Linked DNA regions of Pelodiscus sinensis. The protein of the gene in region 1 interacts with the protein of each later gene in a pairwise test. Links are inferred from orthologs where the notes say so. Each region holds a gene or a part of one and is shown in the gene's direction. Other genes may lie near its edges.

The links.
Region 2: the proteins of FSD2 (region 1) and CORO1A interact in binary tests that used the Homo sapiens proteins (3 or more experiments, as listed by UniProt). The two-hybrid records come from large-scale screens. The link is inferred for Pelodiscus sinensis from reciprocal best matches to the Homo sapiens genes FSD2 and CORO1A.
Region 3: the proteins of FSD2 (region 1) and FMR1 interact in binary tests that used the Homo sapiens proteins (3 or more experiments, as listed by UniProt). The link is inferred for Pelodiscus sinensis from reciprocal best matches to the Homo sapiens genes FSD2 and FMR1.
Region 4: the proteins of FSD2 (region 1) and PPP1R18 interact in binary tests that used the Homo sapiens proteins (3 or more experiments, as listed by UniProt). The two-hybrid records come from large-scale screens. The link is inferred for Pelodiscus sinensis from reciprocal best matches to the Homo sapiens genes FSD2 and PPP1R18.

The regions. Positions count from the first base shown.
Region 1 is NC_134724.1:20,217,481-20,224,314, forward strand, and holds the start of FSD2 (fibronectin type III and SPRY domain-containing protein 2), read left to right. Parts: upstream 1-3,814; 5' UTR 3,815-3,971; intron 3,972-4,445; 5' UTR 4,446-4,638; intron 4,639-6,713; exon of another isoform or gene 6,714-6,834.
Region 2 is NW_027465967.1:95,111-102,898, forward strand, and holds the start of CORO1A (coronin-1A), read left to right. Parts: upstream 1-4,771; 5' UTR 4,772-4,971; intron 4,972-5,322; exon of another isoform or gene 5,323-5,352; intron 5,353-5,901; 5' UTR 5,902-5,906; coding exon 5,907-6,104; intron 6,105-6,482; exon of another isoform or gene 6,483-6,488; intron 6,489-7,788. Other genes in the region: MAPK3 (mitogen-activated protein kinase 3), read right to left, coding at 1,832-2,021, 2,136-2,318, 2,400-2,554. UniProt on the Homo sapiens protein: May be a crucial component of the cytoskeleton of highly motile cells, functioning both in the invagination of large pieces of plasma membrane, as well as in forming protrusions of the plasma membrane involved in cell locomotion.
Region 3 is NC_134723.1:40,628,138-40,635,223, forward strand, and holds the start of FMR1 (fragile X messenger ribonucleoprotein 1), read left to right. Parts: upstream 1-4,069; 5' UTR 4,070-4,335; coding exon 4,336-4,386; intron 4,387-4,390; exon of another isoform or gene 4,391-4,544; intron 4,545-4,611; exon of another isoform or gene 4,612-5,055; intron 5,056-7,086.
Region 4 is NC_134742.1:11,552,957-11,560,209, reverse strand, and holds the start of PPP1R18 (phostensin), read left to right. Parts: upstream 1-4,239; 5' UTR 4,240-4,439; intron 4,440-7,253. Other genes in the region: NRM (nurim), read left to right, coding at 382-584, 1,111-1,287, 2,361-2,681.

The DNA.
Region 1 (6,834 bases):
TGCGTCACTGATTTCAGTGATAGTGAGGCATCTAGATACCACTGAGGAGTTTTCTGCATGAAATCAAGAGCAATTGTTAAGTCCAGGGGCGGATATAGGGCAGGGTGAACGGGGCGGCCTCCCCGGGCCCCGCGCTTCAGAAAGCCCCGCGCATGCGCCGTGGCACCGCTGCGCATGCGCATGGCGTCACTGTGCATGCGCCATGGCAAAGGGGGTCCCTGCGGAATTATGCTGCCCGGGGCCCCGCAAAACGGTCATCTGCCCCTGGTTAAGTCACGAATGGAAAGACATCAATACATGTTATCCGGGATATGTGACAAATATAATTGCATAGATAACCGATACTTTACTAATAAAAACCACTGACTCAAAAGGCATTGTCATTTAGATGCAGAAGAAGAAATACAGAGCTGTGTACAGTATATAGCAAATCTAGGACCTGATTCTGGAAAGAATAACACTAGTAAGATGTTCAGAAGGTTATCTTCAGTTGCAGTCATATAATACTGTTGTAAAGGTATCAGCTCTTATAAATTAAGGCAGTCTGGAGAGGTTCATTTGATGGATGGGAGATTACAATGATGTAGTAGCAATTCAGCACTATTTTCTCTCAGCATGGTATTAAGACGATGCCGCTACTAGAAATGGCAATTTTTGGATGAAAGATCATACTGAGCTGGGGTCACAATGAAAGAAAAGGTGATAGTACTTTGCCCTCAACACCAGAGTTGCTAAATGTTTCTGCCAAAATCAGCGGAAAAAGAGTTAACAACATTGATATTTAAATTGTAATTATTAGCATTCAGCATTAATACCCCTTTCAGGTAAAGGAGGAAACCCACATCTCTCTTAAAGCTAGTGTCCCTATCAGTGTTCCTTCTAATTTTTTCCATCCACATGCAGAATAAATTTTGTTTGTGCGCCAAAGCATGCACAATGTGCACCACCACTAGAAACACATACTGCCAGATATGGGAAGTGGTGGGTGCTCTGCTAATCAGCTGGGCAGCATCTGAATCTCTCCTAAGTGGCAACCTGAGAGGTCAGCTTATGAGGAACACTGGTCCCAATCTATAGACCCAACATTGCAACAGTTCAAATTCTGAAGATTGTCTCAGCCTTCTTAATTTAAAAGGGGAGCAAAAATGATAGAGAAACACAGGGGCGGATGAAAGTTTTGTGGGGCCCAGAGTGCAGGCGGGGCCTATTGAACTGCGGGGCCCGGGGCAGCATAATTTTGCGCATGCGCCACGGCCACATTCGACAGGTAGTAGCACGTGTACGGGGCCTATTGAAGCCCGGGGCAGCTGCTCCACTCGCCCTGCCCTATATCTGCCGCTGGAGAAACGTATGGGGTCACTAGAAAAGTGACGGTATAGCATACCAATGCATAAAAACTCAGTCTGAGCCCTGAAATGAGGTGCTATCATTTGGGATCTTTGACACAAAACAGTCAAGGTATCAAGTGAGAAGAGCTGCAAGTATAGAACTTACTTACTTTCAAACCGATACACTCACTTTATAAGCAAACACCACGTTTTCCTTCAAATTGAGCAACTTGAAGCATGCAAAAAACTAATCAGAGACACTGCAGGTGAAATGCAGCTCTGTGTAGAGGATCGGCACAAGGCTTGATTCCCATGAATAGCTCCTTTTTTAAGGGGTTAAGTAGGAATTAGGAAATCAGTGGTCACCAACCAGTGAATCGGGATCTACTGGTAGATCTTGGGGCCTCTGACAGGTGATCCTGACTGCTTTGGCCACACGGCTATCAAGTGCCAGCACGTCAGCTGTTCCTCCTCCAACTGCTGCACAACTCCGGCCCTTTGCCTTGGAGCTGTTCCCCCAGGAGCCTCCTGCTTTCTATGCAGGGCAGGGAGAGGAGGTGGCACTGATGTCAATCTGCCCCTTCTCCCACTCTTTATCCTATCTCCACAGAATGGAGGGGGGGCACAACAGGATTTGGGATATAATTTGCTGGCTGCTTTTGGGAGTGGTGCAGGGCCAGGGCAGGGGGAAGCCTGGCTTAGCCCCACTGCATCACCACCCAAGAGACATCTGAGGTAAACAGTGCCCAGCTGGAGCCCACATCCCGAAACCCTACCCCAGTCATGAACCCCCTCCTGCACCCCAAGCCCTTGCCCTAATCCTGAGCCCCAATGCATCTAAACACCCTCCCAGAGCCTGAACCTAGAACCCCTCCTCCGCCCCAACTGCCTAGCCCAAGCTCAGCTCAGAGTCCCTCAAGCTCCAAATCCCGTAACCCAAGACCAGAACCTGTACCCCAACCCTCTAGCCTGGCCTGGTACAAGTGAATGAGGATGGGGGAGGGAGGATGGAGTGAGCAGGGGTGAGGCCTCAGGGAGAGCGGGGCAAGGAGCACAAAGGAGGCGGGGCAAGGGTGTTTGGGTTTGAGGTAGATCTTGAATTGCACTTAAATTCAAAACGTGATCTTATGCTTAAAAAGTTTGGAGACCCCTGACTTAGGTGGTCCAGAACCCTGCTTCAGGCACCGTACAACAGTGAATTTCACCCAATAGTCTGTTGTGGCCTTACAAAATAAGGGCATGTGCCATGTATGCCAGCTTTGCATCAGGGCACCTTAAGGAGATCTTTGCAGATTTGCAGCAAGATAACAGCAACATTTGCTTCTAATTTGAAAATGAATACAGACACTCTTAGACAAAATACTGAGGTTGGCTGCATCATTCATTTGGAAGTACTTCCTCTCTGACTTAAACAATAAGAGGAAATGCCAGGGGACTATGCAGAATGAGCGTGGACACACTAGCAGTTAGTTCATAATTCATTACTTGGGAGGATCACAGCAGGAGCGAGAAAAAGAAAGGAGGAAACTAAAAAATAACACAAGGTACAGAATTTTCCGTTGTGGGACTGCATGGTCAGTGAAACACAACAGATATTTATGAAGCTGCAATAACTTCATTGTCCTTTTAAGCACAAAACTATGCCAGTTAAAGAAAGGAAACAGGTGAATAATTTGAATGGCATTCAAGACCTGCAGTTAATGCTCATTCTGTGGCTTGTTTGCAAGCTACAGAGTATTACATATTTCAATTTCAGTGGATTTGTGTGTGGACTCATACATCACAAGGGCTACTGCAATCTAAATAATTTCTTATAATTATTATTAATAATATGGGGGCTATTCTTTAATCAGATGAGCAGTGCATTTACCTAGCTAGCAGCTGTTTTTTCTATTATTTTCAGCCCCCAGGTAGTCTGAAGTTGTATATATTGATATTTATATAAATTATTGCAATTAAAAATATAGATACAAGTTAATTACTTTTACCATAATGCTTTCTAGAGTCTGATCTTGCCTTCCATTGAAATAAATGGCAGTAATTCTACTGACTGAAGTGGGAGCAGGGTTGTGCCATTTAAACTTTTATGAAGAAGATAACAGATATTTAAACTTAACTAGGTCAGTGCATACCTGCCTGTCACAGAGAGGGAGAGGGAGAGGCAGAGAGAGAAAGAGAGAGAGGGACTATGCACCCTACATAAGGTACAAAAAATATTGCTTATTCTTGACTCACAACCTTGCAAAACATCATATTTAGATTCGCTGATGGACACATCAGATGCTTTTAATAATATCTGCACAGAGTTCTCTGTTTTTAAGGGGGCATTCCATGTCTGTTTAAAATACATCAAGCCTGGGAACCCCACAAACTTTTGGAGTCATTTTTTTCAGTGTATGACATTCATCCTGGTGACACTTAAGTAGTGTGAAGCTGAAGGACAGATCTATATTTGTCATTCTTGCTCACAGCTGACATGTCATTTGAGAAACTGTTTAGAATTACTTTAATAAGTTTTCCAGCTGCAGTCACAGGAAACTGGCAGGGAATTACCTTCATGTGAATTCATTTGTGCTAGGAAAAATAGATGTAAAGTTTGGTTCATCTGGGTTATAAGAAGAATGTATGGATTCTTAAGATAAGGCAAGTTTTTAGGCAGTATGAGTTGATTTTATGTGTTTTGGATTATTGAACCTCAAGGGCTCAAGACATACTGCATTATAATTGTATCTATGTTTGTAAATTAAACATACCACATAATCCCGACTCTTTTTTTGGCAGGAGTGTTCCAAACACATTTAATTATACTTGTTTTAATTTCTGTAATTGAATTACAATATTCTAGGCAAAATACTTGATATTTCATTTTTTGATTTAGTAGCAGATAATTTATAGTGTGTAAAACAGAATTTTTGGTTGTTAAATTATGAAAGAGTTAGACTTTTTTTCAATATGTTTCAAGACTATTGTCCTGTTTAATGTTTTAATATTTCATGACACTCGGGATATAAACATGATATATTTTATTGCCTGTGGCATATATATTTTCTGCCTTTTATCAATATTTTTAGTTACAGCAAAATGTGTTAAGTCTAAATTCCACTTTCATATTTTCAGTGACTGTGTGTTTGTGTGTAAAAGCAGAAGGCTAGACTGAGTTCTCAGTTACACAAATATAACTCTGGAGGATGGAATGTTTTTCACAAAATTTCTTGCAGTTCACCTCTATTTGATGTCTGTTAAACCAAGAGGCCAGTGAGCCTATCATCTTGCTGGAAATTGGCTGTTTGTTCCTGATACGTTTGAAAAGGTAAAAAAATGAGAAAATATTCTTAATACAATGTTGTTAGCTTAACAATTAACTGCCAGGAAATCAATAAAATCACAGAAAAAATGTGACCGGATAGGAACTAACAGAAACAGCAAGAGCTTTAAATGGCAATTTGGAAACCACACCAATGGTTACAACGTCTAAAATGGCTTCAATATGCTTAGTGATGACCGACAGTTTTGATTCTGTGAGAGAAAGAAACCCACATTGTCATTTAGAAGCCTTAAAATGTGACTAAATAGAGACTATAACTATGATGTATGTTCATTAACACACAATTGAAATACTTGAACTAATACTTGAAGTACTTCTATGACCCCTTTAACCATAGTAATAAAATTTTGGATACAAAACCAAAAGTAGTTATGCACTCAATAGGCATGATCTCATTAGCGCTGATAAGCTGTATGGTATCATACTGAATTTTCCAGTCTGACAGTGCACACCAAATGTTCGCTGAATATTAACATAAATTCTTATTCTGGCATTAATTGGCTTGCTAGAAGGGCTGAGAGTAGGGACTGTTCAATAAAAGGTGAGCGGACTTTTGCAAAACTCAGGAGTGAGTGAGGTAGAGTTCATTTCTTCAGTAAAACTTCATGCATTTATGCCATGATGAAATATATGTACTGTACATTCCAGCTTCAGTAATTGGGAGTCTCCATGCCTGTACATGAATATACAGAGAGTAGTTAGATACACACATAGGAATCTATACATATGTATTGAGAAAATTATGCTTAAATTACATGCAATTCCCCCTCCTCCCAAAAAACCCTATTTTAAAATAACATTATTAAGGTTGTAAAGCCAAGCATTGAAAAGCCATCCTCTGAGTCAGAGTGGGAAATAATTTTTGGTGCGGGGCCACTCCAAGATTTTGGAAACTGGTCAAGGGCCGCACTTTTCTGTAGAGGGGATGCAGGGTCTAGGATGAAGGTTGGGTGCAGAAGGGTACCCGGGGTAAGGGAATGGGGTGCAGGAGACAGTGTGAGGTCTGAGAGGGAGTTCGGGTGAAGGAGGGAGTTGTAACTAAGGATGTTAAGAAGTGGGTAATTAACTAATTGTGTATTTAATACAACTTGTATTGAGTACACAGTTAGTCGATAAAAGGCCCTGCTGCAGCTCTGTAGTTGAAACGTAGTAGGAGCCGTGCACACAGGCAGCCTGGCTCCTAGTACATTTACACTACAAAGCTGCAGTGGGGATAGGTCCAGGGGCAGCGCATGAGTATAGGCAGACTCGGCGGTTGCCTAGGGCGCTGGCTTTAATGGGGCGCCTGGGGCGCCTGATGATGACGTCACAGGGCGCCCGGAGCACCCGATGATGATATCACACCATTGATGGCCATGCAGGAGGGGGCGCCGATCCCGCATTCTGCCTGGGGCACCAGCTGCTGCTGCCGGCCTCGGGCCGCTCCTGGGTAGGTCCCAGACCTGGTGTGAGCTAGAACTGCTGAGTCCCGGCTCGCGTTGGATCCCGGACCTACTCTGCTGCGGCTCAGCCTTTTAAATGCAGTAAGAGCCGCCTGTGGTAGGCCTTACTACATTCTTTCACATTCCCATCTGTGTGATCGTTACTAGAAGTTTATGACTTTAAAAAAAACAGGTAGAGCGAGCCTGTGCAGACTGGGCTCTCTGTAGTACTTATTTGGTCATGTCTGTCCCTAGATAGGGAAATATTTAGGACACCAACATGAGACCTTCATCCTGAGTTTGGGTGTGGAACAGGGTTGGGCAATAATTTTTGATGGGGGGCCACTCCAAGATTTTGCAATGTGGTCAAGGGCTGCACTTTTCTGTGGAGGAGATGTGGGCTCTAGGATGGAGGCTGGGTGCAGAGGGTGCCTGGGGTAAGGAGCTGGGGGGCAGGAGTTGCAGCGAGGTCTGAGGGGGAGTTTGGGTGGAGGGGGAAGTGACCTGGATCAGGGGATTGGGGTGCAGGGTCTAGGAGGGTGTTTGGGTGCAGGAGAGGATTCTGGCCTGGGGGACGGGGTATAACAGGGGATACAGGGTTTGGGAGGGGGTTGTGACTTGGGACAGGGATTGCAGAGGGTTTGGATGGTGACTGGGGGAGGGAGTGGGGTGCAGGAGAGGCACAGGTGCCAGAGTCAGGCTTTGGCTGGAACTCTAAATGTCGCCTGGCCAACAGCCCTGCACCACCCCTAGTAGGCTC
Region 2 (7,788 bases), on another chromosome or scaffold:
GTGGTGTTTGATGAGCAGGTTGCTGGGCTTGAGGTCGCGGTGCAGCACGTTGGACTGGCCGGGGGCGGGGCGGAGGGGGCAGGGCCGAGGGGCGGGGCTGGGGCGGGCCCACCTTGAGGTCGCACGTGGTGTTGATGAGCAGGTTGCTGGGCTTGAGGTCACGGTGCAGCACGTTGGACTGGCTGGGGGCGGGGCGGAGGGGGCGGGGCCGGGGCGGGGCGGGCGGGGGCCACCTTGAGGTCGCACGTGGTGTTGATGAGCAGGTTGCTGGGCTTGAGGTCGCGGTGCAGCACGTTGGACTGGCCGGGGGCGGGGAGGGGCGGGGCGGAGGGGGCGGGGCGGGCCCACCTTGAGGTCGCACGGTGGTGTTGATGAGCAGGTTGCTGGGCTTGAGGTCGCGGTGCAGCACGTTGGACTGGCCGGGGGCGGGGCGGAGGGGGCAGGGCCGAGGGGCGGGGCCGGGGCGGGCCCACCTTGAGGTCGCACGTGGTGTTGATGAGCAGGTTGCTGGGCTTGAGGTCACGGTGCAGCACGTTGGACTGGCCGGGGGGCGGGGCGGAGGGGGCGGGGCCGAGGGGCGGGGCCGGGGCGGGGCCACCTTGAGGTCGCACGTGGTGTTGATGAGCAGGTTGCTGGGCTTGAGGTCACGGTGCAGCACGTTGGACTGGCCGGGGGCGGGGCGGGGCCGAGGGGGCGGGGCCGAGGCGGGCCCACCTTGAGGTCGCACGTGGTGTTGATGAGCAGGTTGCTGGGCTTGAGGTCGCGGTGCAGCACGTTGGACTGGCCGGGGGCGGGGGCCGAGGGGCGGGGGCGGGGCCGAGGGGCGGGGCGGGCCCACCTTGAGGTCGCACGTGGTGTTGATGAGCAGGTTGCTGGGCTTGAGGTCGCGGTGCAGCACGTTGGACTGGCCGGGGGCGGGGCGGAGGGGGCGGGGCCGAGGGGCGGGGGCGGGGGCGGGGCGGGCCCACCTTGAGGTCGCACGTGGTGTTGATGAGCAGGTTGCTGGGCTTGAGGTCGCGGTGCAGCACGTTGGACTGGCCGGGGGCGGGGCGGAGGGGGCAGGGCCGAGGGGCGGGGCCGGGGCGGGCCCACCTTGAGGTCGCACGTGGTGTTGATGAGCAGGTTGCTGGGCTTGAGGTCACGGTGCAGCACGTTGGACTGGCCGGGGGCGGGGCGGAGGGGGCGGGGCCGAGGGGCGGGGCCGGGGCGGGCCCACCTTGAGGTCGCACGTGGTGTTGATGAGCAGGTTGCTGGGCTTGAGGTCGCGGTGCAGCACGTTGGACTGGCCGGGGGCGGGGCGGGGGCGGGGCGGGGGCGGGGCCGAGGGGCGGGGCGGGCCCACCTTGAGGTCGCACGTGGTGTTGATGAGCAGGTTGCTGGGCTTGAGGTCGCGGTGCAGCACGTTGGACTGGCCGGGGGCGGGGCCGAGGGGCGGGGCCGGGGCGGGCCCACCTTGAGGTCGCACGTGGTGTTGATGAGCAGGTTGCTGGGCTTGAGGTCGCGGTGCAGCACGTTGGACTGGCCGGGGGCGGGGAGGGGCGGGGCGGAGGGGCGGGGCCGAGGGGCGGGGCGGGCCCACCTTGAGGTCGCACGTGGTGTTGATGAGCAGGTTGCTGGGCTTGAGGTCGCGGTGCAGCACGTTGGACTGGCCGGGGGCGGGGCCGAGGGGGCGGGGGCGGGGGCGGGGCGGGCCCACCTTGAGGTCGCACGTGGTGTTGATGAGCAGGTTGCTGGGCTTGAGGTCGCGGTGCAGCACGTTGGACTGGCCGGGGGCGGGGCGGGGCCGAGGGGGCGGGGGCGGGGCGGGGCCGAGGGGGCGGGGCGGGCCCACCTTGAGGTCGCACGTGGTGTTGATGAGCAGGTTGCTGGGCTTGAGGTCGCGGTGCAGCACGTTGGCCGAGTGGATGTACTTGAGGCCGCGCAGGATCTGGTACAGGAAGTAGCAGATGTGGTCGTTGCTCAGCTGCTGCGTCTTCAGCAGCTTGTACAGGTCGGTCTCCATCAGGTCCTGCACGATGTAGCTGGGGGCGGGGTCAAGGGGCACAACGGCCGCGGGGCGGGGCGCGCGCGGGGGGCGGGGCGCGCGGGCGCGCGCAGGGGCCGGCGCGGGCGCGCGCAGGGGCGGGGCAGGATACACGTCGCGCATGTGCTCGATGGCGGCGGCGCGCAGCACGTCGTTGATGCCGATGATGTTCTCGTGGCGGAAGCGCAGCAGGATCTTGATCTCGCGCAGCGTGCGCTGGCAGTACGTCTGGTGCTCGAACGGGCTGATCTTCTTGATGGCCGCGCGCGCCTTGCTCACGTGGTCGTAGGCGGAGCTGCGGGGACGGGAGGGGCGGGGTTAGCGCCGCGCCCCGCAGCCCCGGGGGGGGGGGCCCGGGCGGCGGGGGGGCGCTCACCAGACCATGCCGTACGCCCCCTCCCCGATGTACTGCAGGTCCGTGTAGCGCGGCCCCACGTCGAACACCTGCCCCTTCACCGACTCCACCCCCAGCTTGGGCGCCCCCGGCACCGGCCCGGGCCCCCCCGGGGCCGCCGCTGTCGCCGCCGCCATGGCCGCTGCGCTCCGATCCCGCTGCCGCAGCCGCACCCGGAACCGCCCCGCCCGACGGCTCTGCGCAGGCGCACGGGCTGCCCGACGGCCCGCGTCACGTCGCCGCCATCCGCTACGCGCCCGGATTGGAGCGCTGCTTCTGACGTCATCGAAAGGCGGAAGTGCTGTGCCCTGTCATTCGCTTCTGCCGCTTTAGGCCCCGCCCCCAGACCCAGTCTACGGTACTAGGCCACGCCCTCGCTCGAGGAGCTCCTCTCCGACCACGCCCACTGTTCCACCTGGCCACGCCCCTGCCCACGCCGGCACCTTGCCGGGTGTTCCCCGGCCCCCCCCCCCAGCCTCAGGGCCCCCCGGGTCTGATTCCCCGGCCCCTCCCCCCCCCCCCAGCCTCAGGGCCCCCCGGGTCTGATTCCCCGGCCCCTCCCCCCCCCCAGCCTCAGGGCCCCCCGGGTCTGATTCCCCGGCCCCTCCCCCCCCCCAGCCTCAGGCCCCCCGGGTCTGATTCCCCGGCCCCTCCCCCCCCCGCAGCCTCAGGGCCCCCCGGGTCTGATTCCCCGGCCCCTCCCCCCCCCCCAGCCTCAGGGCCCCCCGGGTCTGATTCCCCGGCCCCTCCCCCCCCAGCCTCAAGGCCCCCCGGGTCTGATTCCCCGGCCCCTCCCCCCCCCCCAGCCTCAGGGCCCCCGGGTCTGATTCCCCGGCCCCCCCCCCAGCCTCAGGGCCCCCCGGGTCTGATTCCCCGGCCCCTCCCCCCCCCAGCCTCAGGGCCCCCCGGGTTTGATTCCCCGGCCCCTCCCCCCCCAGCCTCAAGGCCCCCCGGGTCTGATTCCCCGGCCCCTCCCCCCCCCCCAGCCTCAGGGCCCCCCGGGTCTGATTTCCCAACACCCCCCAGCCTCAGCCCCGGGGCTGGTGGGGGGTAGTTAGGGGTCCCAAGCAGGGCATGGGGGACAGGTGGGGGGGTGCAAGGGGATGCTGGTGAGGGGTAGTTAGGGGTCCCAGGCAGGGCATGGGGGACAGGTGGGGGGGTGGAAGGGGATGCTGGTGAGGGGTAGTTAGGGGTCCGAGGCAGGGCATGGGGGACAGGTGGGGGGGTGGAAGGGGATGCTGGTGAGGGGTAGTTAGGGGTCCGAGGCAGGGCATGGGGGACAGGTGGGGGGGTGGAAGGGGATGCTGGTGACGGGTAGTTAGGGGTCCCAGGCAGGGCATGGGGGACAGGTGGGGGGGTGGAAGGGGATGCTGGTGAGGGGTAGTTAGGGGTCCGAGGCAGGGCATGGGGGACAGGTGGGGGGGTGGAAGGGGATGCTGGTGAGGGGTAGTTAGGGGTCCCAGGCAGGGCATGGGGGACAGATGGGGGGGTGCAAGGGAATGCTGGTGAGGGGTAGTTAGGGGTCCCAGGCAGGGCATGGGGGACAGGTGGGGGGGTGGAAGGGGATGCTGGTGAGGGGGAGTTAGGGGTCCCAGGCAGGGCATGGGGGACAGGTGGGGGGGGTGCAAGGGAATGCTGGTGAGGGGTAGTTAGGGGTCCCAGGCAGGGCATGGGGCACAGGTGGGGGGGTGGAAGGGGATGCTGGTGAGGGGTAGTTAGGGGTCCCAGGCAGGGCATGGGGGACAGGTGGGGGGGTGGAAGGGGATGCTGGTGGGGGGTAGTTAGGGGTCCCAGGCAGGGCATGGGGGACAGGTGGGGGGGTGGAAGGGGATGCTGGTGAGGGGTAGTTAGGGGTCCCAGGCAGGGCATGGGGGACTGGTGGGGGGGTGGAAGGGGATGCTGGTGGGGGGTAGTTAGGGGTCCCAGGCAGGGCATGGGGGACTGGTGGGGGGGTGGAAGGGGATGCTGGTGGGGGGTAGTTAGGGGTCCCAGGCAGGGCATGGGGGACAGGTGGGGGGGTGGAAGGGGATGCTGGTGGGGGGTAGTTAGGGGTCCCAGGCAGGGCATGGGGGACTGGTGGGGGGTAGTTAGGGGTCCCAGGCAGGGCATGGGGGACTGGTGGGGGGGTGGAAGGGGATGCTGGTGGGGGGTAGTTAGGGGTCCCAGGCAGGGCATGGGGGACTGGTGGGGGGGTAAGGGGATGCTGGGGGGACACGTGGGGGTGTAAGGGGGTGGAGGTGGGAGGGTGTATCTAGGTGAGCCGAGACAGGGCATGGGGAGATGGGTGTGTGTAAGGGGATGCAGGTGGGGGGGAGCTAAATGGGCCCAAGCAGGGCACGGGGGGACAGGCGGGGGGTGGGGTCCCTGTGCCCAGGCTCATACCCCTCTGCCACTGGCAGCGGATTCCCGCCCAGCCCCTGGCTGGGAAGTGGGAGGGAGTGTCCTGGCCCCTCCCCCCCCAGGCTGTGCTATCCCTGGGAGGCCCCACCCCCACCCTTAAAAGGTGCTGGTTTCAGCCTCCAGATTCACTGTCACACCAGAGTGCCTGGAACTGGTGAGAGCAGAGGCAGTGGGGTCTGATGGTTAGAGCGGGGGGGGGGGGGGGAGCCAGGACTCCTGGGTTCTTGCCCTGGGCAGGGCAGTGGGATCTGATGGTTAGAGCGGGGCGGGGGGGAGCCAGGACTCCTGGGTTCTGGCCCTGGGCAGGGCAGTGGGATCTGATGGTTAGAGCGGGGCGGGGGGGAGCCAGGACTCCTGGGTTCTGGCCCTGGGCAGGGCAGTGGGGTCTGATGGTTAGAGCGGGGGGGGGGAGGGGGAAGCCAGGCTCCTGGGTTCTTGCTCTGGCCGGTGGGTGGGAGGGAGGGAGGTCCTGGGCCCTCTCGGCTGACCCTTCCCGTCTCTGCAGAGTGATGCTGCTACACCCAGTTACCTACAGGTAGAGCCAGGGCAGCAGCCAGGCAGAGGGTGGTGGGGCAGGAGCAAGGGATAGCGGCAGGGTGGGAGAGAGGGGCAATGGCCGGGCTGGAGTGAGGGGCAGCGACGGGGTGGCAGGGCAGCTGGGCTGGAGTGAGGGGCAGAGTGGTGGCGGGGCTGGAGTGAGGGGCAGCGGCCGGGCAGGGGGATGGGGGGGGTGGGAGCGAGGGGCGGCGGCCGGGCAGGGGGCGGCGGGCGCGAGGGGCGGTGGCCGGGCAGGGGGCGGCGGCCGGGCAGGCGGCGGCGGCGGGCGCGAGGGGCGGCGGCCGGGCAGGCGACGGCGGGCGCGAGGGGCGGCGGCCGGGCAGGGGGCGGCGGCCGGGCAGGCGACGGCGGGGCGCGAGGGGCGGCGGCCGGGCAGGGGGCGGCGGCGGGCGCGAGGGGCGGCGGCCGGGCAGGCGGCGGCGGGCGCGAGGGGCGGCGGCCGGGCAGGCGGCGGCGGGCGCGAGGGGCGGCGGCCGGGCAGGCGGCGGCGGGCGCGAGGGCAGCACTAACGGCGCGTCTCCCCCAGCCGCCATGAGCCGGCAGGTGGTGCGCAGCAGCAAGTTCCGCCACGTCTTCGGGCAGCCGGCGAAGGCCGACCAGTCCTACGACGACGTGCGCGTCTCGCAGACCACCTGGGACAGCGGCTTCTGCACCGTCAACCCCAAGTTCCTGGCCATTGTCGTGGAGGCCAGTGGGGGAGGGGCCTTCATGGTGCTGCCCCTGGCTAAGGTAACCCCGCCCCCATCCCTGCTAGTGACCCCCTCCCCCCTCTGCCGGCCCAGCCCTGCCGGGGCCCCTCGCCAGCCCCGCCCTGCGCTTCTTAGGTAACTGTCTGCCCCCCCCTTTCTGTTTCCGGGGGGGGGGGGGGGGGCTGTTTTGTGAAACCGCCGAACATGCAGATCTTGACATTTTTGCCTTAAATGGCTCCAAACGTGAAGCGGGGGCGGAAGCAGCCGTGTAAAAGGGGAAGTGGGTTTGCGGGGAGGGGGCAGGTCTGGGACACCACAGCCCAGCCCCCCGTCCTGGTTCTCGGAGCCGTGGCAGCCACACCTGGGTCACCGTAGCCAGGAGCCCCAGAAATGGAGCAGGGGCGGGGGCGCCGGGGGAATAAAGGTCTGTGGTGCAGCTACAAAGGGCCCTGTGTCCTTCCCTGGCCCGGGGGGAGGCCGGGGCAGGATGCGGCTTTGGAGGGACCCTCGGCTCCCAGAACGCGGCACCTTGTGACTTCCATCGTGATGGGAAAGACGGGAGCAGAGCGCCTCAGCCCCTCCCCCTCCGTCCCACTCCCCACACCCGCCCCCCAGCCCCTGCCGGTCCAGCTCTGCCCCCAGCGCCCCCCACTGCAGCCCCTGCCCCCCCAGTGCCCCCCAGTGCCCCCTTTGCACAATGCCCGGGTAAGGTTGTCATGGGACTGCTGGGTTCGTGGGCCCAACTTTCCCCGTGGCAGGACCATGGGACGAGGCGGGAGGGGCGTGAGGGGAGAGCCAGGCCTGAGGCTGGTGCCCAGGAGGGCTGAGGCAGGCCCGGCCCCCGCCCTGCTGCCAGACTGCCCTGCTCTCAGGTTGGCTGCCCACTGGGGGGAGGGGCTCATGTCGCCTGCTGTGGGCACTGCAGGGGCACGGGAGCTGGGTTGCTTGTCACAGCCTGGCCCTGCCCCAGGCCCCAGGCCCCTGGCCCCTGGGAAATATCCCCAGCACTGGGGAGAGGCAGAGAGCTGCGGGTTCTACTCCCTACAAACATTTACCCCCCTCCGAGCTGGGAGAGAACCTAGGCTGCCCGCTAACCCCTGCGCCCCACTGCCCTCCCGGCCCTGCTGTAACCCCTGCGCCCCACTGCCCTCCCGGCCCTGCTGTAACCGCTGCACCCCACTGCCCTCCCGGCCCTGCTGTAACCGCTGCGCCCCACTGCCCTCCCGGCCCTGCTGTAACCACTGCACCCCACTGCCCTCCCGGCCCTGCTGTAACCGCTGCACCCCACTGCCCTCCCGGCCCTGCTGTAACCGCTGCGCCCCACTGCCCTCCCGGCCCTGCTGTAACCACTGCACCCCACTGCCCTCCCGGCCCTGCTGTAACCGCTGCACCCCACTGCCCTCCCGGCCCTGCTGTAACCGCTGCACCCCACTGCCCTCCCGGCCCTGCTGTAACCACTGCACCCCACTGCCCTCCCGGCCCTGCTGTAACCACTGCACCCCACTGCCCTCCCGGCCCTGCTGTAACCGCTGCACCCCACTGCCCTCCCGGCCCTGCTGTAACCGCTGCGCCCCACTGCCCTCCCGGCCCTGCTCCAACCACTGCGCCCCACTGCCCTCCCGGCCCTGCTGTAACCGCTGCACCCCACTGCCCTCCCGGCCCTGCTGTAACCCCTGCGCCCCACTGCCCTCCCGGCCCTGCTGTAACCGCTGCGCCCCACTGCC
Region 3 (7,086 bases), on another chromosome or scaffold:
AAATGTGTTTAAAATTTTTTATATTTAAAAGTTTAACACTAGCAGCCACCCTCTGCCTACATGCTAGAGTGAGTGCATACACAGAAATCTGTAAACACTCATGGAAGTGTTTTGTTCAAGAACAGAGTGATGAAGATGAAAGAAACCATGTGCAATACTGGACTTCCTGACATCAACAGTTTTATCACTGTCTTCAAAGGGGCCGAAATATTAAAGCATGGCTTTTGTCCAAAGACACACCTAGAGTCATAAGTTTTGTCCCAGAAGACATGGCCATGACAAACAAATTAACATTTTCAAAAGTTTACAAGTGTATCAAAATAGTATTTCCCTCCTCTTCTTGTCCCTTAATTAGCAGAAAAATCTATATGCCCCAAAATAGTATTTCATTATACCAGATGACTGACTATCATAATACTTTCACACATGCAAGTTTACTTCTGGCATTTCCTAACTTTTGAGTGTATTACCTTGCAATCTTAATGTGTCTTTAATGTAGTGTTATAAAATTTATCTATAGTTCACCTGTAGCACCATGGTATCTGGAGGATAATAGTCAAGATGTTAAAATATATTTTAAGTAACCATACAACTGCTGAAAATTTCAGTCGTTTCACACAAGGTGGCAGTAGACATCCCGGGAGCTGGTGTGCGTGGGGAGCCGGCATTTAAGCCGGCTCCCTGTGCGTAACTGCTCCCGCCTACCTCGTCTCCCCTATGCTGTTGCCTCTGATATAAAATATCATTTAATATTTATAAATCAGATTTCAAGCCCTATTGTGCATGCAGATCTTGAGTACAGCAGAACCTTAGTTATAAACACCTTGAGAACGGAAGTTGTTCATAACACTGAATAGGGATGTTCAATTGCAGCTATCTGACTAATTGTGTAGTCAATATTTTTATCTACTTCATGGTTAGTCAAGAAGGACCACTCTGCACAGTCACAGCGGGGTAGCTCCAGGAGCCGGCTCTAGCCAGGACTGAATATTCCCAGGAGCCACCCACACTCCAGTTCTGCATTTTAAATGTAGTAAGAGGTGCTGGGCTCTTACTACATTTAAAATGCAGAGGCACAGCATCCCGGACCAGTGCAAGCCAGGACTGCTCTGTCTTGCCTCATGCTGAGTCCAGGAGCCCTGTTGGCAGCAGCCAGCTCTGTCTGCCACCAACAGAGGCTGCTTTGACACCAGTTTCTGTTCATGGCAGCCAGGGCTGGCTGCAGACAGGGCTAGAAAGTAGTCAATACTCCAGTCAACTACCCAATAAGCATAAGCTTATTGACTACTCACTAACATCCCTAACTCTGAGAAGTTTAAAAGCTTCAGGGGATAGCCGAGTTTGTTGTGTTTTAAGTTTACCCTGTACAGACTAATAGTCTGGTAGCACTTTACAGACTAACATGAGCTTCTGTGGGTACAGCCCACTTCCTCAGATGACCACATCTAAAGAAGTAGGCTGTGCCCACGAAAGCTCATGATACCATCTGAAAGGTTTGTAACTCTGAACAAAACATTATGGTTGTTCTTTTAAAAGTTTACATCTAAGCGCTGACTTAATAAAGCTTTGACACCTTACAGGGTGGGGGGAAGGGGGAGAGAGAAACACTTTTAATCATCTTGATTTAAATGAAACAAGCATTATAATCAGTTTCCTTACCGTGCCAATTTTTTTTTAATCTTCCATTTTTTAGTAGCTTATATTTAACATAGTATTGTAGTGTATTTGCTTTTTAGGGGTGGAGTCTCTGCTGCTGCCTGATTGCGTTCTTCTGGTTCCAAATTAGGGATGTGGTTGACTGCTCTGTTTGTAAATCTGGTGTTTATGTAAAATAAAATCTCAGAGTTATAATGCATTTAAACAGCACACCCTACAAATTTTTAAATAAATCCAGCAGTTTGTAGGGGTAAAATCAGATACAGTACTAAGACAAACAAAGATATTATTTCTGTAACTTGCAAAGGAAACCATTGAACCAAAAGGAATATTTGCAAAACATGAGATTTCTGTGCTATCCACACTGCAGGTATTTGTCAGCAGAGAGTGCGCTAATGAAGTGCTCTGCCAATGCTCTGTCATATTCTCTGCCAATGCTTTTTGCGCAACAAGTTTTTGCACAAAAACAAGCAGTGTAGACGGGTCTGTTTTGTGCAAAAAAAACCTTTTGCGCAAGAACCTGTATACCGCCTTTTTTTAGGCATAGGAGATCTTGCGCAAAAGTGGGTTTTAGCGCAAAACAGACCCATCTACACTGTTTGTTTTTGCGCAAAAAGCATCTGCGGAGAATATGTACATGACAGTGCTTCATTAGCATACTCTCTGCCGACAAATACCTGCAGTGTAGATATAGCTTCATAGTCTTAATATAGGATTATTGAATAGCACCAAGAATATATCCCGTAAGTGAAGATTCATCCAGACCATCTGTGTACAAACTCCGCATAAGCAATAGATACTACTTTGCTTGAACTCTATTGTACATTTTTACATATTATGTTGGGATACAATTTGTATTAAATGTATCTGTTTGTTGTATTGCATGGTGCTTTCAATAAATGTCCAAGCCAAGAGTGGAAGTTGTGCAATAGCACTAACAGTCCCCAACATTGCCACCTGTATTTAACAAGGGCTTCCTGAGCTCTCTTTCGGATTTGATCTGCAGAACATCTGAAATGGTCTAGGTCGGAGGAGAAACAGCTAACAAGGGCAGACAACTCAAGCTACAGCCTCCATTTACTCTCAACATGAAGAACTGAGCTTGGGTTAGATCCCCAAGAGGAAGATAGGCCCCTTCTTAACAGCACCTGCAGGGTTTTAATTCAGATCAAACAATTAGTGCAAAATGCGTGGCAGGTGATTAGCCAGCTTAGTCCTCCACTGCCAAGGGCCTTCTTTAGTTGTGCATCTAAACCTAGCACCACTGCACAGAAAACTCAACTTCACCTGCTGCATGATGAGAGTGATGCAAATCACAGGCAGCTGTGGTATGTGGTTACAGATACCCACCGGCTCATATTGGCAGATAGAGACTGTGTATCTAGAAAAATGCAAGCCTGTGGATGTCTGTTTTATAGGTATGAGCACTGGCAAATGTAAGCATCCATGGGTTTTTTCTTTTGGCAGATACCAACTTTGTAACCACCCAGGGCTCTGCCCAGGACAGCTAAGCCACAATCCTCTTCAGCCAACATTTCCCACGCGCTGCACCCTCCCCCCCGCCTCTCCCCTCTTTCAGCCATGCATCACTGCCCTCCCTCCACCCAGCACCAGCCCCCCAGTCTGACCCCCTCCTGGTCCCACGCCTCCAGCCTCCCCCACCCTCAGCCCACACCACAAGCCTCTCTTCACCCTTTCCCCCACCCCACCCCAGCCTCCCCCGTCTTCCGCCTTTCCTGGTCCCGGACCCTACATCACAACCCTCTCGCCCCACCCGCAGCCCTACTCCACAACCCTCCCTCCACCAGCCTCCCGCCTTTCCTGGTCCCGCACCCTCGACCCCACAAAACAACCCTCCCGCCTCACCCCGCCCCAGCCTCCCGCCTATCCTGGTCCCACCCCACAACCCTCCCTCCCAGCCTCCCCAATCTTCCGCCTTTCCTGGTCCCGCACCTCAGACCCCTCCCCCCCGGGTCTTCCCCCACTCCTGGTCCCGAACCGCCACCCACCCCGCACCTCCCGCCTCTCTCCCCCGCCTCGCCCGCTCGTTATTTTGGCGCCACAAGCCCTACCCCTTCCGTTCTCCTCGCGAACTCCACTAACGGCCCCCTTACCCGTCTCTTCCCGAGGGCCGTTGAACGCCGTGCTAACAGGCGCCTCGACGGGTCACGCGGCCTCCTTCCCGGGCACTCCCATTGGCCGCGGCGCACGACGATGGCGCGCCGCCATTGGGTGGCGGTGCAGTCGCTCAGAGCGTGAGCGGCAGGGGTGGGATGCCGTCGCGCCGTGAGGTTCGGTTGCGTGCCGCCGCTGGGGGAAGAGAGAGTGTGTGTGTGAGGGAGGGGCGCGCCGGGCTAGCCGTTAGGTGGACGTGAGCGGGGCGTGCTCGCGCGAGCTGATTTTCCCGCCCCTCCCACCCCGATCGGGGGGCCTGTCACGTGATGCGGGTTTAATGTTTACATTCGAAGCGGGCGCCCCTCTTCCTACCGCCCCCCCCCGCGCGCCGCCGGGTGGTGACCGTTTCGCTTTCATTTCCGGGCAGCCGCGGGCGAGGACCGGAGCCGACCCGCCCCCACCCCTCCGGCTACGGAGCGAACCGAGGCTCCCCCCCACCCTCCCCCGGAGAGAGAGAGGCGGCGCCGGGCCTGGGCATCCCGCACCGAGCCGCCGCGGCACAACATGGAGGAGCTGGTGGTGGAGGTGCGGGGCTCCAATGGGGCCTTCTACAAGGTACCGTGCGCCGGGCCTCAGGGGAGGGCCCGGAGGCGGCGGCGGCTCCCCCCGCCTGTGCGGGAAGGAGAGCGGCCCGGGCTGGACGGCGGCCTGGGAGAGCCTGAGGGGAGGTCGAATGAGGGAGGCCGCCGAGGTCTGAGGGAGCTGCGGGCGGGCTTGGGGCCTGCGAGACCTTCGCCCTGCGGGGGGGGGGACATGCCTCGCCGCTGTGCGAGGGAAGGGGGAGAGGGCACGGCTGGGCCTCTGCCCTCCCGGCGCTGTGGGGGACCAGGGGCGGCCTGGAGCCTCCGCGCTGCATCCCGGCGAGCCCCTGCCGGGCGCGGCGGAAGCTCGTGAGCAGGCTTTCGCGGTGAAATGCCCCCCCCCCCCCCCCCTTCCGCGCCGCTGCGGCCAGGGATGCCGGCACCCGCACGGGCGGGAGCGTGGCGGGGCCTACAGGGCCTGCCCCGGCTTCCTGCGAACGTTACGGACCCGAGTGTGTGTGGTAGGCAGCAGTGGGGAGAGCCTCCCCTGAGTGTGGCACGGAGTTATTCCTGGCTATTGTGATAGCAGCTCGCGTTGCCATTGTTGCTCCGTGAAGTGAAGAGCGTCGGTCAGTAGACAGGAGAGCATCCTTTGGGTTGCAATGGGCTGTGATCCAGGAGACTTAAGATAACACGCAACCAGGTTAGTAGAGCATGGGGTTAGGGCCTACTCCCACTGGAGTCAGTTGGAGCGGATCCAGACCCTTTGTCAAAATACTCTTCACCATGATGGGTCTGTTGCTGCAAAGTGCTAAGCCCTCCACTTCTATGGGGTGTTGAATGTTCTTAGTGTCTTCAAGAATTGAGCCTACTATTCAGCAGCATCGCATGTGTATGTTAACAAGGTAGATGTGAACTCTTACAAAACTGAATAGTTCACATACTGTAGCACAAGGGAGGTAGGAAGTAGGATCTGGTACCGAGATAATATTGATTTTCTTTTAAAGTTCATACTGTATACAATTTTTTGTTAAAAAAAATCTGGAGAGGAGAGTTTTAATATATGGTAACATCTCCTGTGTTTTCATAGTAAGAGAACAGAAAAAGTGCTAAATAGAGTGTCTGTTGGGTTTGCAGTGTTCCAGTTGAAATCCAAGATCTGTATATAGCTGGTAGGAAATAAAATACCCAGCATTCACAAAAGTCTCTTTTCTTTATCTCTTCCGGGTTCGTCATTGTTCCAAAAGATAATTGAAAATGTAAAGTATGAATTTTAGGGATAAACAAAGTAGGAGTTTTAAATGGCTGAAGGTTTGGGGTTTTTGTGGGGGGGGGGGTTAATTTTTTTTTCAAATTGTGCGCCAGTAATAAAGTGGCACTGGTAGGCAGCCTTTGTAGAAAGACATAATTTAAAACATGTATTCTCTCTGATTAATTAAAAGTATACAGTACTACTGTGACAAGATTATTGAGAGTATATAAAACAAATTTGACATACTTTAATTGCATGACATTAGTACAGAAAGTTCTCAACTTGAAAAATACTGTAATTTTCATGACCTCTTCTGGGTTTTTTTTCTAACACTAAACCAATACAATAAAATGTACTGGCTTACATGATGATGATGATTATTATTATTATTATTTATTATTATCAGGGCTCAACAAATAATGTAATCTACTCATCTGTGGCAAGTAGCTTACAACCTGGAAGAGCCAGCGCAGAGCAATCTGCACATGTGCAGAACCACGTGAAATCGTGCAGGTGGCGAGCAGAGCTCGCCGCTGCTTGGCGAGCCATAATTATTATTATTATTTCTGGTTAATTTGTGTCCCGGAACAAGTTAGGTTTATGATGAATGGAAAGTTTTGTTGGTTCGTAACAAGTCACTTTATTTCATAAATTGAGAGTTTGTTCAAACATTGTTTAGTACATCTAGCCTATTTTACAAACGTTTCTCCAAGCAGAAATGTATATTTTTTCTTCTATTTAAGAATTTATATAGCCTGTTTTTTAGCACATAGGAAGGATAAATAAAATTTTAAAATGGCAAGCCATAATGATCCACTCTGACTCAAAGATTACTTAGAGGATTACATACATTATAAATCTAGAAACAAGCTTTTATATGAAAAGTTTCTCTCAATTGTTTAAGGATTAGTATTTAACAGAAAAGTCAGTTTGTCCACTCTAGTTGTCATTTTAATGTTATAATATCTAAGCACCTTGCACTTATTAATTAATCCTCATACTGCACTGTGAGATGTCAGTATTATCCCCATATTCCAGATGGAGATACTGAAGTATAGAATGAATTTCCTTGTCTAACCTTATCAGGATCAGGAACAGAGCAGATTTAACACAAGACTGTCCAAATGAGAAAATAAGAAATTTCTTCACAAAGAATCTTGACAGAACCCTGTAGAATTATCATGTTGTAAAACTGTTCATTCCATTTCATTTTATGATATATTAATATATAACTGATACTGTTCTCATTGTACAGTTACTACTAGAAAATAGGGCTGTTAAGAATCAGCTAATCTTGTACCACACAATTAGTCAATAGGGTTAGAAGCCTCCAGGGGCTACCCCCGCTGCAGCTCTACAGTTGAAATGTAGTAAGAACCAGGTGCACAGGCTGGGCTGGCTCACTCCAGATCCAGCAAACCGTCAGTGGCCAGCCCCAAGGGCAGCGAAACGCACTGGGCAAGCTCGGCAAGGGGCAGCCTG
Region 4 (7,253 bases), on another chromosome or scaffold:
AAAAAGGGAGGAGACCCAGGGTAAGCCCCTCCCTGGAGGCTGGTCTCTGGGGAGACAGGGTGGATCCTGGGGAAAGCTCCTCCCAATCCGGGGGTTGTGGGAATAGTGGGGGCTGCAGGAGAGGGGAGACCCAGGTGAAGCAGAGTGGGGAGAGGTTAGGGGGGAATGCCGGAGAGCTGGGACGGGGGGCAGAAGCCATGGGCAAGGCAGGGTGGTTAAGCTGGGTCCTGCTGGGGCCTAGGGCAGGAGCTGGGAGCAAAGAGGGAACTGGGGGCAGAGGAGGGAGCAGGGCTCTGGGGGAGAGGAGGGGAGGGACCCAAATGGGTAGCTCATTCCTGGGTACTTTCTGCCTCCCATTAATCATTGTCTCCCCCTTTGCAGAGGCCTCCCCCAGCCCGCAGTGGGGAGCTGCCCTGCAGGACCCCCGGGTACTGCAGCCCCTGGCCATGGACCTGGGGCTGGTGATGCTGTTTGTGCTGCAGCACAGCCTCATGGCCACTGCGCTGGCCAAGCGCTGGACTGCCAGCTGCTTCGGGGTGCTGCAGCGATCCTTCTACGTCTTCTGCACCTCCCTGGCCCTGCAGGTACCCACTGGGGGAAGCCCTGGGCTGGGCTAGGAGGGGTTGGGAGTGAGGGGCACTGGCAGAGCTAGACTGTCAGGGGCTGCAGGTCGGGAGTGAGGGGAGCTCAAGGCAGAGGGCTGTGGGTGGGGGTTGAGGGGCACCGGAAGAACTGGGGGGATCCCAGGGTCTGGGGTAGCCAGGCTATGTGGGCACTGGCGGAGCTGGGCTAGCTGAGGGCTGTGGGTTGGGGCTGAATTAGGGCACCAGCAGAGCTGGGGGTGGGGCAGGGGGCAGGGCCAGACTAGCCAGGGGCTGCAGGTTGGGAGTGAGCGATGCTGGGGGCACTGGGCAGGGCTGGCAGGGGCTGCGGGTCAGGAGTGAGGGGCACCGACAGAGCTGGGGGGGCTAGTAGGTAATGGGGGGGCGGAGCCCAGGGCAGGGGGCTGTGGGAGGAGGTGAGGGGCACAGGCAGAGCTGGGGGGAGCCCGAGGCTGGGTCGGGACTGAGGGGCACCGGCAGAGCCATTTCAAATGGGGCTCCCCCGCAGCTGCTGATGCGGTACTGGCAGCCCGTCCGGCACGGCCCCCTGCTCTGGGACGCCTGCACGGAGCCCTGGGACACCTGGGTCCCGCTCCTCTGCTTCATCCTGCACTTCATCGCCTGGCTGGTCATCTTCAGCGTCATCCTCATCTTCGACTACGCCGAGCTCATGGGAGTCAAGCAGGTATCTCGGCCCCACGCAGCCAGGGCTGGAGAGGTGCCTGGCTCAGGAGGGGTGTGGAAAGTGACATGGAGCCTTTCCCCCTCTAGGGGGCGCCAGATCCAATGTGGCTCCGGCCTGGGGGACTAGCTGGCTGTGAAGGCGACATGGAGCCTTTCTCCTCTAGGGGGCGCCAGATCCAATGTGGCTCCAGCCTGGGGGACTGGCTGGCTGTGAAGGCGACATGGAGCCTTTCCCCTAGGGGGCGCCAGATCCAATGTGGCTCCGGCCTGGGGGACTAGCTGGCTGTGAAGGCGACATGGAGCCTTTCTCCTCTAGGGGGCGCCAGATCCAATGTGGCTCCGGCCTGGGGGACTGACTGGCTGTGAAGGTGACATGGAGCCTTTCCCCTAGGGGGCGCCAGATCCAATGTGGCTCGGGCCTGGGGGACTGGCTGGCTGTGAAGGCGACATGGAGCCTTTCTCCTCTAGGGGGCGCCAGATCCAATGTGGCTCGGGCCTGGGGGACTGGCTGGCTGTGAAGGCGACATGGAGCCTTTCTCCTCTAGGGGGCGCCAGATCCAATGTGGCTCCGGCCTGGGGGACTGGCTGGCTGTGAAGGCGACATGGAGCCTTTCTCCTCTAGGGGGCGCCAGATCCAATGTGGCTCCGGCCTGGGGGACTGGCTGGCTGTGAAGGCGACATGGAGCCTTTCCCCTAGGGGGCGCCAGCTCCAATGTGGCTCCGGCCTGGGGGACTGGCTGGCTGTGAAGGCGACATGGAGCCTTTCTCCTCTAGGGGGCGCCAGATCCAATGTGGCTCCGGCCTGGGGGACTGGCTGGCTGTGAAGGTGACATGGAGCCTTTCCCCTAGGGGGCGCCAGCTCCAATGTGGCTCCGGCCTGGGGGACTGGCTGGCTGTGAAGGCGACATGGAGCCTTTCTCCTCTAGGGGGCGCCAGATCCAATGTGGCTCCGGCCTGGGGGACTGGCTGGCTGTGAAGGCGACATGGAGCCTTTCCCCTAGGGGGCGCCAGCAGGGATCCAGCTCTGCTCTGGAGCAGGGCGTGTCTCAGCTCTGCCCTTTGCCCCTCCCCCAGGTTTATTACCACTGCCTGGGCATGGGAGACCCGCTAGCGCTGAAGTCCGTGCGAGTCCTGCGGCTCTACTCCCACCTCCGCCACCCCGTCTACCTGGAGTTCCTGCTGGTGCTGTGGGTGGTGCCTTGCCTGTCCCTGGATCGCCTCCTGCTGGCCAGCCTCTTCACCCTCTACCTGAGCTGCGGGCACGCCCTGGACCAGCAGGACTATCTCTACCTGCGCGCCCAGCTGGATAAAAAGTTCCTGGTCTTCTCCCGCGAGGAGGCTGCCTATGGGGACCTGCTGGCCCGCAACGGCCCGGCGGCTGCCAAGGAGAGCTGAGGGGCCAGGGCCTCTACCATGCACTGAGGCTCTGAGCTCAAGAGTCCTGCACTAGTTCCTGTAGAATTAGCTCCTCTGAGTGCCTAGCGTCTGCAAATGCCAAGCCAAGCCCTGCTCTAACCACTAGGCTCCACTCCCTCCCAGAGACAGCAGTTCCCAGCCCCCCCCTGCTCTAACCACTAGGCGCCAGCCTCCTTGCATCGGATTTTTAAGTTCAATCCCCAGCTCTGGGAGAGGAGTGGGGGCTAGTGGTTAGAGTAAGGCAGGCTGGGAGGCAGGTCTCCTCCATTCTGTCCCCAGCACTGGGAGGGAAGTGGGGACTAGTGGTTAGAGCAAGAAAGGGTTGGGGAGCCTGGACTCCTGGGTTCTCTTTCCCAGCTCTGGGAAAGGAGTGGGGGCTAGTGGTTAGAGCAAGAGGGGGCTGAGAGGCGGGGCGCCTGGGTTCCATCCCCAGCTCTTGAAGGGGAGTGGGATCTAATGGTCGGAGGCTTGACTTGAGGCTGGGAATCAGGACTCCTGGGTTTTACCCGGCGGCTTTACCCAGCATGTTTTGTTTCGAGCCGCACTTGTGGCTGCAGAAAGAGTCTCTGAAAGTGTGTTTTGAAACACAAAACAACGATAAATCTGTGCAGAATTCAGTCACACACTGGGGAGTGGGGCTTATTCTGGACTTGGCGAATGGCATGTCCCCTGTAGGGGGGCTCGGGCTCTGATCCAACACCAGGGTGGGGGACTGGCTGGCTCAGGAGATTGAGGACTGGGACGTGGCACCTTTCCCCTTGTGGGGGGGGGTCCCTTTTCCAACTCTCTTCCCTAGGAGCCAAAAGCCATTCCCGCCCGCCCACCATTCTGTGCCTTGTGGTTCACACTGACGGGTTCCCGGACCAGTCGTCTCCTTTGGGCACTTCACCGCCCTCTTGCTGGCGGTCTCAGCAGTGAGTAGCAGCCCGGTTGTGGGGTGGCAGGGGCTGAGGGGTGGCTCGTTCTGTGCCCAGGACCCCAGTCGCTGGGCATGAAACTAGGAGTCAGGACTCCTGGATTCTGGTCTAGCTCTGGGAGTGGAAAGGTTTAGAGCAGGGGGCTGTGAGTCAGGACTGGGGGGGTCCTATCCCTATCCCCAGCTCTGGCAGGAGATGGGGGGCCTAGGACTTAGAGCAAGTGGGCTGGGAACCAGGACTCCTGGGTTCGATTCCTGGCTCTGGCAGGGGATCCCAGTGCCTTAACCGGGACCCTTTATTTTTAAGCACCGAAGGGTTTTTTTAACATGGTCGTCTTCGCCCAAAGCTGATAAAGTATTTTTGTATTTCTGATTTTTGTGCGAGCTGAGAGAACTTTTTTTTTCCCAAAATTAAAAAAGAAAAGTCGCTGCTGCTTTTACACACTTGTCTGCCTCCTGTGTTCTCCCCCCAGCTCGGGGAGGGGAGAGGAGTCTAATGGTTAGAGCAGAGGGGTAGCAGGGGGCCAGGACTCCTGGGCTCTCTCCAGCTGTGGCAGAGGAGTGGGGTCTAGTAGTTAGAGCAGGGGGGGGCAAGGAAAAGGGGGGGCTGGGAGTCAGGATTCTTGGGTTCCTTTCCACTCTCCACTTGACATCGAGAGTCATTTGTCCTTTTCCTCTGTGTCCTTAACTGTGAAACAGACCAGAGCTCGGCAGTGCAGGGGACAGACCTGTTGCTATTCCAGAAACACGCTGCTCTGCGAACACTCAAGAGCCTGTGGCAGACAAGCCGGTCGTTGCGGTACTCCCTGCCGGAGGACGGGGTTAGTACGGGCAAACTAGCCACGGCATTGCACTATGGAACAATCCACTGAGCACACTACTGGTTTTATACCACCACTCGCCATTAGGGGGCAGTATTAGTACAGGCACACAAAACAGCGTTTCTCTTGTCTCTCCACTAGGGGGCAGTGTTAATTCAGGCACACAACACAGCGTTTCACTGTCTCCCCGCCAGGGGGCAGTGTTAATTCAGGCACACAACACAGCGTTTCACTGTCTCCCCGCCAGGGGGCAGTGTTGATACAGGCCCACTCCCGAGGGCATTTGCTCCATTAGGGGGCAGTGTTGGTACAGGCAAACTAGTGTGTTTCACTGTGTCTCTCGCCTGGGTGGTGTTGGTACAGGCGAACTAGCTATAGCAGTGGTTCCCAACCTGTGGGTCTGTGATGGTACTATAGGGGGTCCACGGAAAGTTTAGGGAAGGAAAAGAAAAGCAAGGATCGGGCCCACTAGGGGACTGGGATTTTCTGCCAGGCGATATTCACCTGGGGGTCACCGTTCATGACTGGCTGCATGCACACTGCCTCCCACCCCAATCTTGATACCCCAGGAGGCACCATCTGTCTGCCAGCTGCGCTGCTGTTTACGCTCCAGCCCTCTCCCCACTCCTAGTCCCGATCCTCTTTTTTTTTCCCCTCCTCCAGTGCTCCATGGGGCAGAAGCTGCCTTTGGCCAGGAGATTCCCCCTCACTGTATGCTCCGCAGATGGGCAGGGGCTAGAGGGGGAGGGATAGCTCAGTGGTTTGAGCATTGGCCTGCTAAACCCAGGGTTGTGAGTTCAATCCTTGTGGAGGCCATTTGGGGCAAAAATTTGTCAGGAATGGTACTTGGTCCCACTGTGAAGGCAGGGGACTGGACTCAACTGAACCCTTCAAGGTCCCTTCCAGTTCTAGGAGATAGGCATCTCCATTAATTTACCCACTAGGGGGCAATGTTGCTACAGGCTGACTAGCTATCAAATTTCACTGTCCCCCCACCAGGGGGCCATATCGGTACAGGCAAACTAGCTAGAGAGCTATACCCAAAAAAGCTCAGGATCCCATCTACATATTTTGTTTGTCATTAAGATGCAGCTAGACTATTTGTTGTTTTTCAAGTTTTTCTAGCTGTAGCATTTCACTGTCACCGCCTGTAGCAACACCGCTAACTAACTATTCCATTTTAATTTCTAGGGACTAGGGGGCGGTGTCGGGACAGGCAAACTAGCAATAGCATTTCACAGTCTCTACCTGTTGGGGGCAGTGTTGCTACAGGCAAACTAGGTACTGCATTTTAATGTCTGGGGACTAGGGGATGGTGTTGGTACAGGCAAACTCGCCTCAGCCGTCTGTTACATCTCTGCATTACGGGGGCCATGTCACTCTGTCAATGGTTTCAGGGTACCCAGGAGATGGCTAAGATTTTCAAGGGGTCTATTCCACCATTTGAAATTTTTCAGGGTGGGGCAAGGTTGAAACCCACTGCTCTCTGGCAGGGTTTCTAGTCCCTCCCAGGAGGATGGTGGGTTCGGTGTCTGTCCCCCATGGCTGCTTGTAGCCAGGCAGGCAGGGGCCTGGCAGTTCCCAGGCCTGAGGCCGGGGGCTGGGCCTATGACACAGGCCTGCCGGCATGCGTGCGTCATGCATTCCTGCTGGATTAGAGGCTGCAGACAGCTGGCGGGGAGGGAGCGGCCTTCACTAAGGCGCTTGTCTGATCTTGAAGGGTCAGGCAGGGTTAGCGCTGGAACAAGGGAGCAGAGCAGGGGCTCTGTAGGGGGCGCTGACCCCCGGCGCTCAGGGTTGATCCTGACACCCTGGTGCAGTATCGGGCCGGGCGCGGGGGAAGTTTGTAAATATCCTCATGTCCTGTTCCCACGAGGTGCGGTGGCACCGCTGCTGTCCTGGCCTAATTCCCACACAGCTTACTGTAGTCTCGCCCTACAGCCCACCGTGCTTTGCGATTGTAACTGGCCTAGGGAGCCCCCTCCTAAAATGTGGGGCTGTTACTTCTCTGTCCCTCCCCAGAGATGGCTGCATCCCAGGGGAAGGGTTTGGAATTTTTCTGTTAGCCTGCAGCAAGGTTTACATGCTAGGGGTGGGTTTTCTTGGAAGAGGTGCCCTTTGCCTCACCTGGCATGCGGGCGCCTGCCTCTCCTTGTCCTCCTTACCTCACGGAGACTTGGGGTCCCAAATGGTGCAATTCCTCAACCAGACCTCCAGGGGGTGGTGGTGTATTAAAAATCCCGCCTGTTGCTGTGCGACCCTACCAAAATAAAAGTGTCCTTCCCAGGGCTCCCTGGTGTAATCAACAACCCCCCCCCCCCCGTATGCCTGAGAGACCCTACAATAACACACAGGTCTGCACAAGGGCACCAGCATTTGTGTTGCCTTACAACAAATCAGCAAGGGAACCCTACAATAACAAATAGGGTGGTGGGGGGTGCCAGGGCAGGTCAGCCGGGAGCCAGCAACTTCTGAGATGCTGGATGAGGCTGCACATCAATCCGCTGCCATCCACCACCCCCAAGCTCTGACAGCCCAATTTCTACCCCCTAAACCACCATCTGCAACTCTCTGTACCCCTAGAACCACTGAGAAATTGCTCCCCCTGCTTTAAATCCCCTGCGCTCAGAGGTTCTAGGGACCAAGCCGAAATCCTCACATCACTGTCCCCCGATCTCTCAATGCAAATAGCTGGGCACTCCCCAGATCAGAGCCTGACCCCTAACAGCGGGGCTGGAATACTGTGTATGGGGCAGGGCTGAGAACCACCGGACTGAACTGTAAACTCTACATAAGATGGAAACCACTTCAAAC